Kluyveromyces lactis: one gene and its partners. The protein of the gene in region 2 interacts with the protein of the main gene of each other region in a pairwise test. Links are inferred from orthologs where the notes say so. Each region holds a gene or a part of one and is shown on either strand. Other genes may lie near its edges.

Region 1 (2,766 bases), on a different chromosome or scaffold from region 2:
GTTTACACCGGATATGTGCGAAGACTGGGAATACCGCAAGTGTACTATGACCGGTAGATTCTTGCATGATGAAGAGATTTTTGTCGGCCCCCGTGTTAGAGGAGGGATCAAGGGGTACGTTTTATATACGCCTTTCATCAGAAAGGATACGGGAGAAAGAATTTTGATTGAACGTGGTTGGATCTCGGAGGAGAAAATCGTTCCATCATCTCGTAACTTGCAACATTTGTCTTTACCTCAAGGCGATAACGTGACAATTACAGTGTTAGTGCGTGCAGCTAAAGATTTGACATCAATGCAATGGAAGAAGGAAGACAGGGAGAGTAGATTGTGGCAAGTCTTGGATATTAAGGATATGACAGAGATGACACATACTTCTCCTATTCATTACCAAGCTCTTTACGATCTGAAAGATCACCATTGGGATGAAGAATCAAAATCTGAGGGTATCGATAACAAAAACCAATCATCTTGGAAATTCTGGTCTAAAAAGAAAACCGAAACAGAACCACAACAAGAAGAATCCGAGAAACCACACGTCAACACGAAGAAAGTAAATACAGCAGATTCGGAGACAGGATTGGAATTTAACGAGTTCCAATTCGTTAAAGCGGGAGTGCCTATTGGTAAAGCACCAAAGATTGATTTGAAGAATAATCATTTACAATATTTAATTACTTGGTATGGGTTATCTCTGCTTTCATCTATCTTCCTTATCATTGCACTAAGACGTGGTCGTGGTTCCGCTATGTCACAGGATGAAATAAAGAGGCAAAAGCTAAAACATGCCAAGAAGTTCATGTGATAAAGAAACACATATTGATATTCTCAGGAATTTCTATCTCGATCCCATCATTTCCTTCAATTTTCTAGTATTCGAGATACTCAAATTCCAATAAATTATATTCAAGCAGTTAATTACTAAACACATAGTAGTATCAACCTTGTTTGTACCTGTAAATACTATTATAGCTATTTTGAATGATTTTCATTCCTGTTGATGAATACTAACTAACTATCGTTGAAATACTTGTACATCGAAAATCGAAAACGTAAATAAAGTAAAGCAAAACAAAAACACGAACAGTAAGGTGTCTCCAAGCAGACAGACGGAATGCGATAGTGTCTCTTTGGGCAACCTGGTATCTAATTTGACATCTCATAGACAGTCTGAGGTAAATTCATTACTTGTTTTTTTTTTTTTTGACCTTTCATCTTAAATTCTCAGGGCTACTTGGCACTATTCCAAACTCAACATAAAACTGCTGGATTCATCTGCTCATAAGATATGTCTCAAAGGCCAAATACTCCACAGCGGGACAGGCCAACTGAATATAGACTATCTTTGTCATCTAATGCAAGCTCAAGAAGATCTAGTTTAGGCAACAACGGTCGAGATCAGCATGCGTCAAATCAAACAATGATTGAAAAATACGTGCTCCCACAATTACAGGAACTTTCGGACTCGATGGTAACACTCGATGGTAACATGACGCACATGAATTTCATTCATGAATCGATAGCGGATTTAAATGAGGCTCTAAGCGCTTTATTATACGGATTGATGTGTAACTCTTGGTGTGTTGATTTCCCGAACATATCTCATGATACTCCGCATGAATTGAAATTAATCCAAAGACTAGAAGAGTTGAAACAAGAAAGACAAGCACTACAGGCGAAACTCAAGCCAAAGGAACTTACCAAAGGAAGCATATTACCTCTTTCAAGACAACCTTTATCACGAGGTTCTCAGATGTTGTATCGTGATGAAAATGTGCCAGGTTCTACTGCAAGCTCGAATGTTAACATTGACATTAACGATGACGAAGATAACACAGCCGCTTCGTTTGTATCCAACCCAACTACTTTCAAACCTCAAATGATATCTTCAGTAGGAGCTTCAACTGACTTTATGGGAAAACAAACGGTAGGCTCCGCGTCATCGAAACTCAGAAGAAGATCCATTCTACATCAAATACGAAACAACGCTGCAATAGGCACTATACCTAATACACTAACAGGTATTACTCCTGGAGAAAGAAAAAGATCACTAGCAGTCAGTGCAAAAAGAATTCCTATCTTGGCAGGATCATCGACTACCGCTGGCTCTGCCTCTTCTGCTAATCGTGAATCTACAAATACAGAGCCCGCTCTACCGAATAGAGTTGTAAGAACAAGACAGAGAACCTATAATCCAAAAAACCTTGCAAGCAGGCCTCCTTTCAGGTAACGAGTTATTTGATACTTCTTACCAGAGCTTTTTTCTAGATACATATTCATACCGTGTGTATATCTACCAAACAATGTAATATTACAACGTCAGTTAACAAAATGAAGAAAAAAAAATTACTGAAGGTACTCAGTAAAGATTGAAGTGCTCTATGAGGCTGCTCTTACCGCTTATCAGTGATACATGAACGTTCTCGTTTCAAGTGAAGTCTCGTTCGATTTACTTTTATTCGAGTTGAGCTTATTGAGCAAATAAAGGCCGCCCTCTTCATTTCATTCTGCAAGGAATTCTGTGAAGAAAAATGACCGAAGTTACAGAGAACATAAATCAATGAAAGAGCTAACATAAAGAATGAGATGAGAAGATTTTGAGAAGGTATTGGTTGTACATTTTAAATATAAGAAAGTGGCATATAAGTGTTTAGCCATACATCTTGATCAGTTCCATTCTAGCTGCTGACGGTTACACACCAGAAACATTGATGTTTTTTTGTTGATTTTAACTCTTTGTTCATTCACGTATTGGGAAGCGATTGA
Region 2 (4,086 bases):
CGATATAGTTGACGGAGTGCGCAAGGCCAAGACGTTGGTGGCTCTTGCAGAACAGTACAATTCTCCGATCGAATCCACCGTCATGGTCGGAGATGGTGGTAATGATTTGAACGCAATGGCCGCAGCTGGGTTCGGAATCGCATGGAACGCCAAGCCAAAGGTCCAAGAACAAGCCCCATGTAAGTTAAACAGTGATACAATGATAGACGTCCTATACATCCTGGGGCACACTGAGAAGGAGATAGAAACCATGATCAAAGAATAGAAATGTAAAGAATTTATTCTGATATATATATAGTAAAATGTATATTATAAGCAGTGTACAAAAAATTTTACACGTTAGCAGCAATGGTTTGCTTGATAGCAGCCAAGTTAGCACCTAGGACTCTAGAAATTTCCTTACCGGACTTGAAGAAAACTAGGGTTGGCATAGCACTGACATCGTTGTTCTTTGCAACATCTGGCAACTCATCAACGTCAACCTTCAAGAAGGTAGCTTTACCCTCGTATTCCTTAGCGAACTTTTCCAACATTGGGGCAATCATCTTGCATGGACCACACCAGGTGGCAAAGAAGTCGACGACGACCAACTTGTCGTCAGTCAAAGCCTTTTCGAATTCGGATGCGGAAGTAAGTTGAGCGACCATTATATATGAAATTGGAGGGGATAGTAAAGATAAATTGTACCTTATTTGATGAGGATAGAAAGTTATCAGATTATCCGATAATCAATCGAAGAGACAACTAAATAACCTTTAAATGTATCTTACTTCCTTTATATAATAATGTTGGTTAAATATCGAGTTTTTGACAAATTTTTGCTTGCTAATCAGGAATCGAGAGCTGGAATCAGCTAGAACCCGTCCATTTGTAAGCAGGTGGAAGCGCCAACACTCGTGTAACGGTGTTTTGAATGGCTTGAATTGACTGTATAATGTTCAACCAACACGCATCAGCGCCGATTGAGTGATTGGAGGGGCGTGTACGTGTATAATAGATCCTACCCTCCCATTATTCAGGTTTCTGCAAACCCGATCCAAAGCATATCAACAAAGTCACGTGATATATCACATGACTTGAAATCAATCGTTTCTGTAAACAAAAACAATCAAAATCAACCAGTAAACAAACAAACAGACGAGACAACATGAATAAAATAGACGGTCAGTGAGTCAACACAGGGTGCTGCCAGCTGTATCGCGTGTGTATATCTCCCATGGATAACGCTACGGATGATTCGGCGTCTTTTCAGACTCTGTCACTAGATGAGAGACTTGTTCATAAGCTTTGGAAGGCAAGACAGCATGGATATAATGAGCTAGAAAGCACATTCAATAAACTGTCCGTTGCTAGAGTTGCAGAGAGTGGCGTTAATAAGTATTGGAAGAAACCTGAGATTTTCACGGGGTACGTATTGGATTCCAATGTTGTTGCACAAGAATCTGCCGTTAAGGCCTTGTACAGTTTGTTGAAATTTATGATCGACGTACCCCAGATCAGAGATTTGTGTCAGCCGGGTCAATTGGTTCAGGGCTGGGTTCCAGCTCTGGTGGAGAAAGGTATGACTTCCTCGAAATCAGCGACGAAAGAGGCTTCATTGGCCTGCGTTTCGCTTGTCGTGTCATTGGATGATAATATCGTAAATGCAATCAATTGTCTGACGCCGATTTGGACCAAAAAATTACCGAAGCTGTTGACTGCAGCGTTAATGGTTCATGTAAAGTTGATAGAGCAGTTTGGGTTCGTGAACGTTTCTCAACAGGAGAAGATGCAATCGTTACAGGGTCTAGTGGAAGTTTTACCTAAACTTTGCTCACATGCGGATAAATCTGTGAGGAATGAGTCAATGCAGTTGATTTTACAACTATATACATGGTTTAATAAACCTGTACTTCAAGAGCTTCTATTGGGGAAGTTGAAGCCCATACAACAGAAGGACCTGGATAAACTGTTTGAATCGTACCAGGGCACTATACCGCCTTCTTCAACACCGTCTCAGTTTATATGGGCAGTCCCGGCTCAGAGTGATAACAATTCAACTGATTTACCCTTGGATCATGACGGAGATCTAGCAATGGCAGGTAATAACGGCCAGTCTGCCGCTGCTCTGGATAACCAATCAATCGATCCATATGATATGTTCCCCGTACAAACTATATTAGATAAGCTACCGAATAATTTCTATCAGAGTTTGGCGTCTAGCAAATGGAAGGATAGAGTGGAAGCTTTAGAAGAGTTCCACGATCAGACTTTAACCAAGGTTAAAAAATTGTCAGCATCAAATGAAGATCATTCTGAAATCATTCACAAATTTTGCTCGACTATCACTTCCGATGCAAACCTACAAGCAGTACAAATATCTACCAGCAGTTTAGATATACTAATATCCGCATTAAGATCAGAATATAACCCATTCGCATTGGAAACTTTAAACGCTCTCCTAACTAGATCAAAGGAGAAAAAACCAAACGTCGCAGATTCTATTTTCAATGCTCTCCTGAACCTTTCAAAGTACTATAAATTAGAGCTATGTCTCGAGTCTGTGTTACAACACATGAAGAACAAAGTACCACAGGTAAAAATTGTATGCTCGAAATTTCTTTTCGAGTTGCTATCCAATTGGACACCGACTGAAACTCTTCATAGAACGTCGGTATTCTCCAATTTGCCAGCGATACTCAATTCTTTGCAGCCCATTGTAAACGACAATCAACAGGCAACAAGAAATGAGGGTTTCAAGTGTATTGCTATCTTAATTAAGATATTCGATGAAAGAGAACTATCAACATATTTGGACAAGCTCGATAACTTGAAAAGGAAGAAGATCCTTGAACTTGTTGATAAAGTGGAGATCAAGGCGGCAACGGTTCCACCTCCACACCAAACCCAACCGCAAACCCAATTAAGATCAGCGGCACCAGTAGTACGATCCCAACCCTTGTCTTCAACGATCCCTTCAAAACGACTGGCCACTTCTCCATTGAAACCGGCACGTAACTCTGCCTTGAATGGCAACACGAAGTCGTCCAGGTTGACTTCAAGGTCTCTAACTACTCATCAAATGATGAACCATACGGATCTGCCTTCCTCAACACAACCCAAATCTAATACCAGTTCCAACACAAGCCTCTCTGGCAATTTCACACCACAGACAAACATATCCAACAGAATGTCACATTTAAACGATGAAGTGAACAAATTAAGACAAGAGAGACAAGAATGGCTAAGGGAGCGCAACGATCTCTTATCCAACTTAAATCAATCCAATTTACAACTTTCCAAAGTAAATAAACTCTTGAACGAGTCTGAGACATACGTTTCCAATTTACAAAGGCAATTGCAGGATTCGAAGGATCAATTGAACGCTAAGAATTTAAAGATCAAGGAGTTAGAGAGTAAACTGACGGGCGGTACTTCCGATACCATGTCAACAGATTCACCCATATCCTCGTCCATTAGCAGAGGAAGATTAACAGCAACTACCTTATCACCTCTGAGATCTACTAAAAATGCTACGACTCCTCAAAGGGTCAGATCGCCTAGTGAAAGTAGCGACGATCTACCTAGACGTGTCAATTCCCTAAACTTGAACAACCATATGTTGCAAGAGGAATCGTGGAAACGAGCTGCAGAAGTTACGAACCAATTAAAGGCACGTATAGAAAGAATGAGGGCCAAATCCAGGTCCGGTTTCAACAATCTCGGCGTAGATTAAGAGAATCCACTATGTACAAAATAGATTCCTGTATAAACGACGAATTGAGCGCAAACTCCGACATGACAACCAGAGAGGGAAGCTTCCAGTCACATGACCTAGAATGCATATATTGTCCCGGGTAATATATAGCAACGTCTTCTCTCTGCTTATCTCTGGTGCAGCCTCCTAGTTTTTCCGAAAAGTTTCTTTTTCTCCAAAATTCTCCGAAAATCGTCAGATATTCCAGATATGCAACTAGAGGGAAGATACACCGTTATATGCATTTCAAAATGCAAATAACGGCAACTAAGCCCATCACTCTCAGCACGTTTCTTTTCCATGCACGTCGTTCCCACTGATGATTCCTCGGATCAGTTGATGCGATTTTT
Region 3 (2,523 bases), about 1.0 Mb from region 2:
GTGTCTAATGGGAGATACTCAGAAGAGTGCACTGTCCCGTATACCTTATGGCAAAAAGTTGTCACATATATTCAATCTTGCATAGTATATTGGTTATTATTGGTTTAGAGCTAGTCTCGTGATTTCAGTCCTCAATATGAATTTCAAAGTCGAAAAGAGAAAAATAGCCATATTATTCGAATATCATACTAATAGGCAAAGAGTGAAAGAAATAGAATAATAGTTTATTATGATTAAATATTATATTATGAGCTCATATACACATTTTATTGCTGTTTGCAGGTATCTTCAAGGTCTTTGTCGATGTTACCTAGATTTTCATCTCCTTGTATTTCCAGCATCTTGGCTAATTCTGACATATCGTTTCCAGGATCGTTACTAGTTCCCTTTGCAACCGGTGAGTCACCGAGTTGCTCTAGTTCATCCAATAGATCTGCGATCTCAGCATGGTACTTTTCATTCGTATAATCATCGCTTTCGAATACACCGATGATCTGATTCACAAGTGCATACTGTTTCTTGTAGTTATCAATCTTGTCGCTGTGTTCGGGGTCTTCTTCGTGTAATCCCATCCACTCGGTGAATTCTCCCTGCATTTGTTTCATCGGCTGATATAGCACTTCTTTAGAAGACATTTGTGAAAGCATTTTCAAAATGGCATTGTCCATTCCTTCTCCGTCCGTACCGTTGCCATCGCCGTTTTCCACTAGTTGATCTAGCAATTGGGAAAGAATATCGTCTGAGTTCTGATTTTTCTTCTCTTCCTCCAAACTTTCATCCACTTTCGTAGAATTTTCTTTCAATCTATCTAGGGTGTTGGAAATGATATTCTTGAAACCAGTACCGCTCTTCAATTGCTCCTGAACGTGTTTTACACTGTTATGGTCTTTCTCCTTCGATGCATCTCCAAGTACAGTTAGCAATGTCTCGAAATTCTGAACCATTTCTTGGTCAGTATCACCGCCTTCCTGCTGCATCAATTGTTGGAACTGTTTCTGCAAATCTTCCATCATCTCGACTACTTCTGGATCATCGCTCTGCGTAGCAGGCTCACCCTTAGTAACTGCCTCATTTGGAACAGTTTCTTGTTTTTCCTGTTCATCCAGTTTGCGTGGATCCTCTAAATAGTCATCCAAATCATCAAATTCGTCAACTTTGTTGTCTGACATCGTTTGTCGAAGTATCTGATTACTATCCGTTGAAATTTTGGTGGTGCGTAGCCCTTACTATTAATTATACCTCAGTTAAGGTTTCTTTAGTCACTGTCAATTCTGAAAAATATCACTTTTTCTTCAAAACACTATTGATGCTTTTTCTACAATATCAAAATCATCTTCAAAATCACAAACAAAAAGACGTATCGCACGGAATATCATATCCTCCAATTATTCAACAACGGTAAATCTGAGTTAAGGCTCTATTTACAACAGGGCGCAACGTACCTTAATATATTTACGGTATCTGTATATTAAAGCGACTCGACGATCAGAACGGCCGAATAATATAAACAGTCATGAGTAGTCTTTGTCTACAGAGGTTACAAGAGGAGAGAAAGAAGTGGAGAAAAGATCATCCTTATGGGTTCTTTGCCAAACCAACTAAAAAGACAGATGGATCTATGAACTTGCAGAAATGGGAGGCTGGTATCCCTGGAAGAGACGGCACTCTCTGGAAAAATGGTCTTTATCCTTTGACCATTGAATATCCTGATGACTATCCGTCAAAACCTCCTAAAGTGAAATTTCCAGCAGGATTTTATCACCCTAATGTTTATCCCAGTGGAACCATTTGCTTATCAATCTTGAACGAAGATCAGGACTGGAGACCTGCTATCACCTTGAAACAACTCTTACTTGGTGTACAGGATCTTTTGGATTCTCCGAACCCTAACTCACCTGCGCAAGAGCCAGCTTGGAGAGCTTTCTCGAAAAACATTAAGGAATATGAGAGGAAAGTCTCAGAACAAGCTCTTAGGTATACCAAGTGATACCTCCATAATACAACTTCGGAAGTAAACCATTTACTGACAGAGAAAATGCAAATACGCAGATGACGGCAGATATCAACTTGCGGGAAACCCTGGGCCTTCCCCAGCGTAAAGCGCAAATCAAATAAATTTGCTGTATTCTATGGCTCGATTTATTCTACGGTGTTGACCATTGTTATATGGCTGTATAGAGATATATCATAGGATGGAACGATCCAGTAGGTGTATAGTTCTCGTGTAAAATTTAAAATTAATATCAAGAATAATGCTAATGAATACTTGATTTATTCAATTATTTTGTATTTTACTATTATCAGGTGTAGACTGTATATATTTATTGTTTTATTTGTTACGTTCATTTTGTTTGTATGCAATAAAACTATCCAATGTAGAAAAGCAATCCTGACATCTTTCTTTCAGTTGAGGATCTTTGTTCTTGTCAACAAACTTGAAAACATTCTTCAAATTTAATGAAACCTGTGTTTGAAGTATCGAAAGATAGTTCAAGTTTACAAATACTGGTTCATCGTAATCAA

What was found.
Region 1: the proteins of STU2 (region 2) and DAM1 interact in binary tests that used the Saccharomyces cerevisiae proteins (3 or more experiments, as listed by UniProt). The link is inferred for Kluyveromyces lactis from reciprocal best matches to the Saccharomyces cerevisiae genes STU2 and DAM1.
Region 3: the proteins of STU2 (region 2) and UBC9 interact in a two-hybrid assay, tested with the Saccharomyces cerevisiae proteins (2 studies listed by BioGRID). The link is inferred for Kluyveromyces lactis from reciprocal best matches to the Saccharomyces cerevisiae genes STU2 and UBC9.

The regions. Positions count from the first base shown.
Region 1 is NC_006038.1:999,354-1,002,119, reverse strand, and holds DAM1 (Dam1p), read left to right. Parts: upstream 1-1,288; coding exon 1,289-2,230; downstream 2,231-2,766. Other genes in the region: cytochrome oxidase assembly protein SHY1, read left to right, coding at 1-805. UniProt on the Saccharomyces cerevisiae protein: Component of the DASH complex that connects microtubules with kinetochores and couples microtubule depolymerisation to chromosome movement; it is involved in retrieving kinetochores to the spindle poles before their re-orientation on the spindle in early mitosis and allows microtubule depolymerization to pull chromosomes apart and resist detachment during anaphase.
Region 2 is NC_006041.1:1,460,478-1,464,563, reverse strand, and holds STU2 (Stu2p), read left to right. Parts: upstream 1-1,216; coding exon 1,217-3,715; downstream 3,716-4,086. Other genes in the region: SER2 (phosphoserine phosphatase), read left to right, coding at 1-265; thioredoxin TRX2, read right to left, coding at 333-647.
Region 3 is NC_006041.1:441,933-444,455, forward strand, and holds UBC9 (E2 SUMO-conjugating protein UBC9), read left to right. Parts: upstream 1-1,513; coding exon 1,514-1,987; downstream 1,988-2,523. Other genes in the region: PEX19 (Pex19p), read right to left, coding at 267-1,169; SYO1 (Syo1p), read right to left, coding at 2,330-2,523. UniProt on the Saccharomyces cerevisiae protein: E2 ubiquitin-like--protein ligase mediating SUMO/Smt3 attachment to septins and PCNA. Seems to be involved in degradation of S- (CLB5) and M-phase cyclins (CLB2).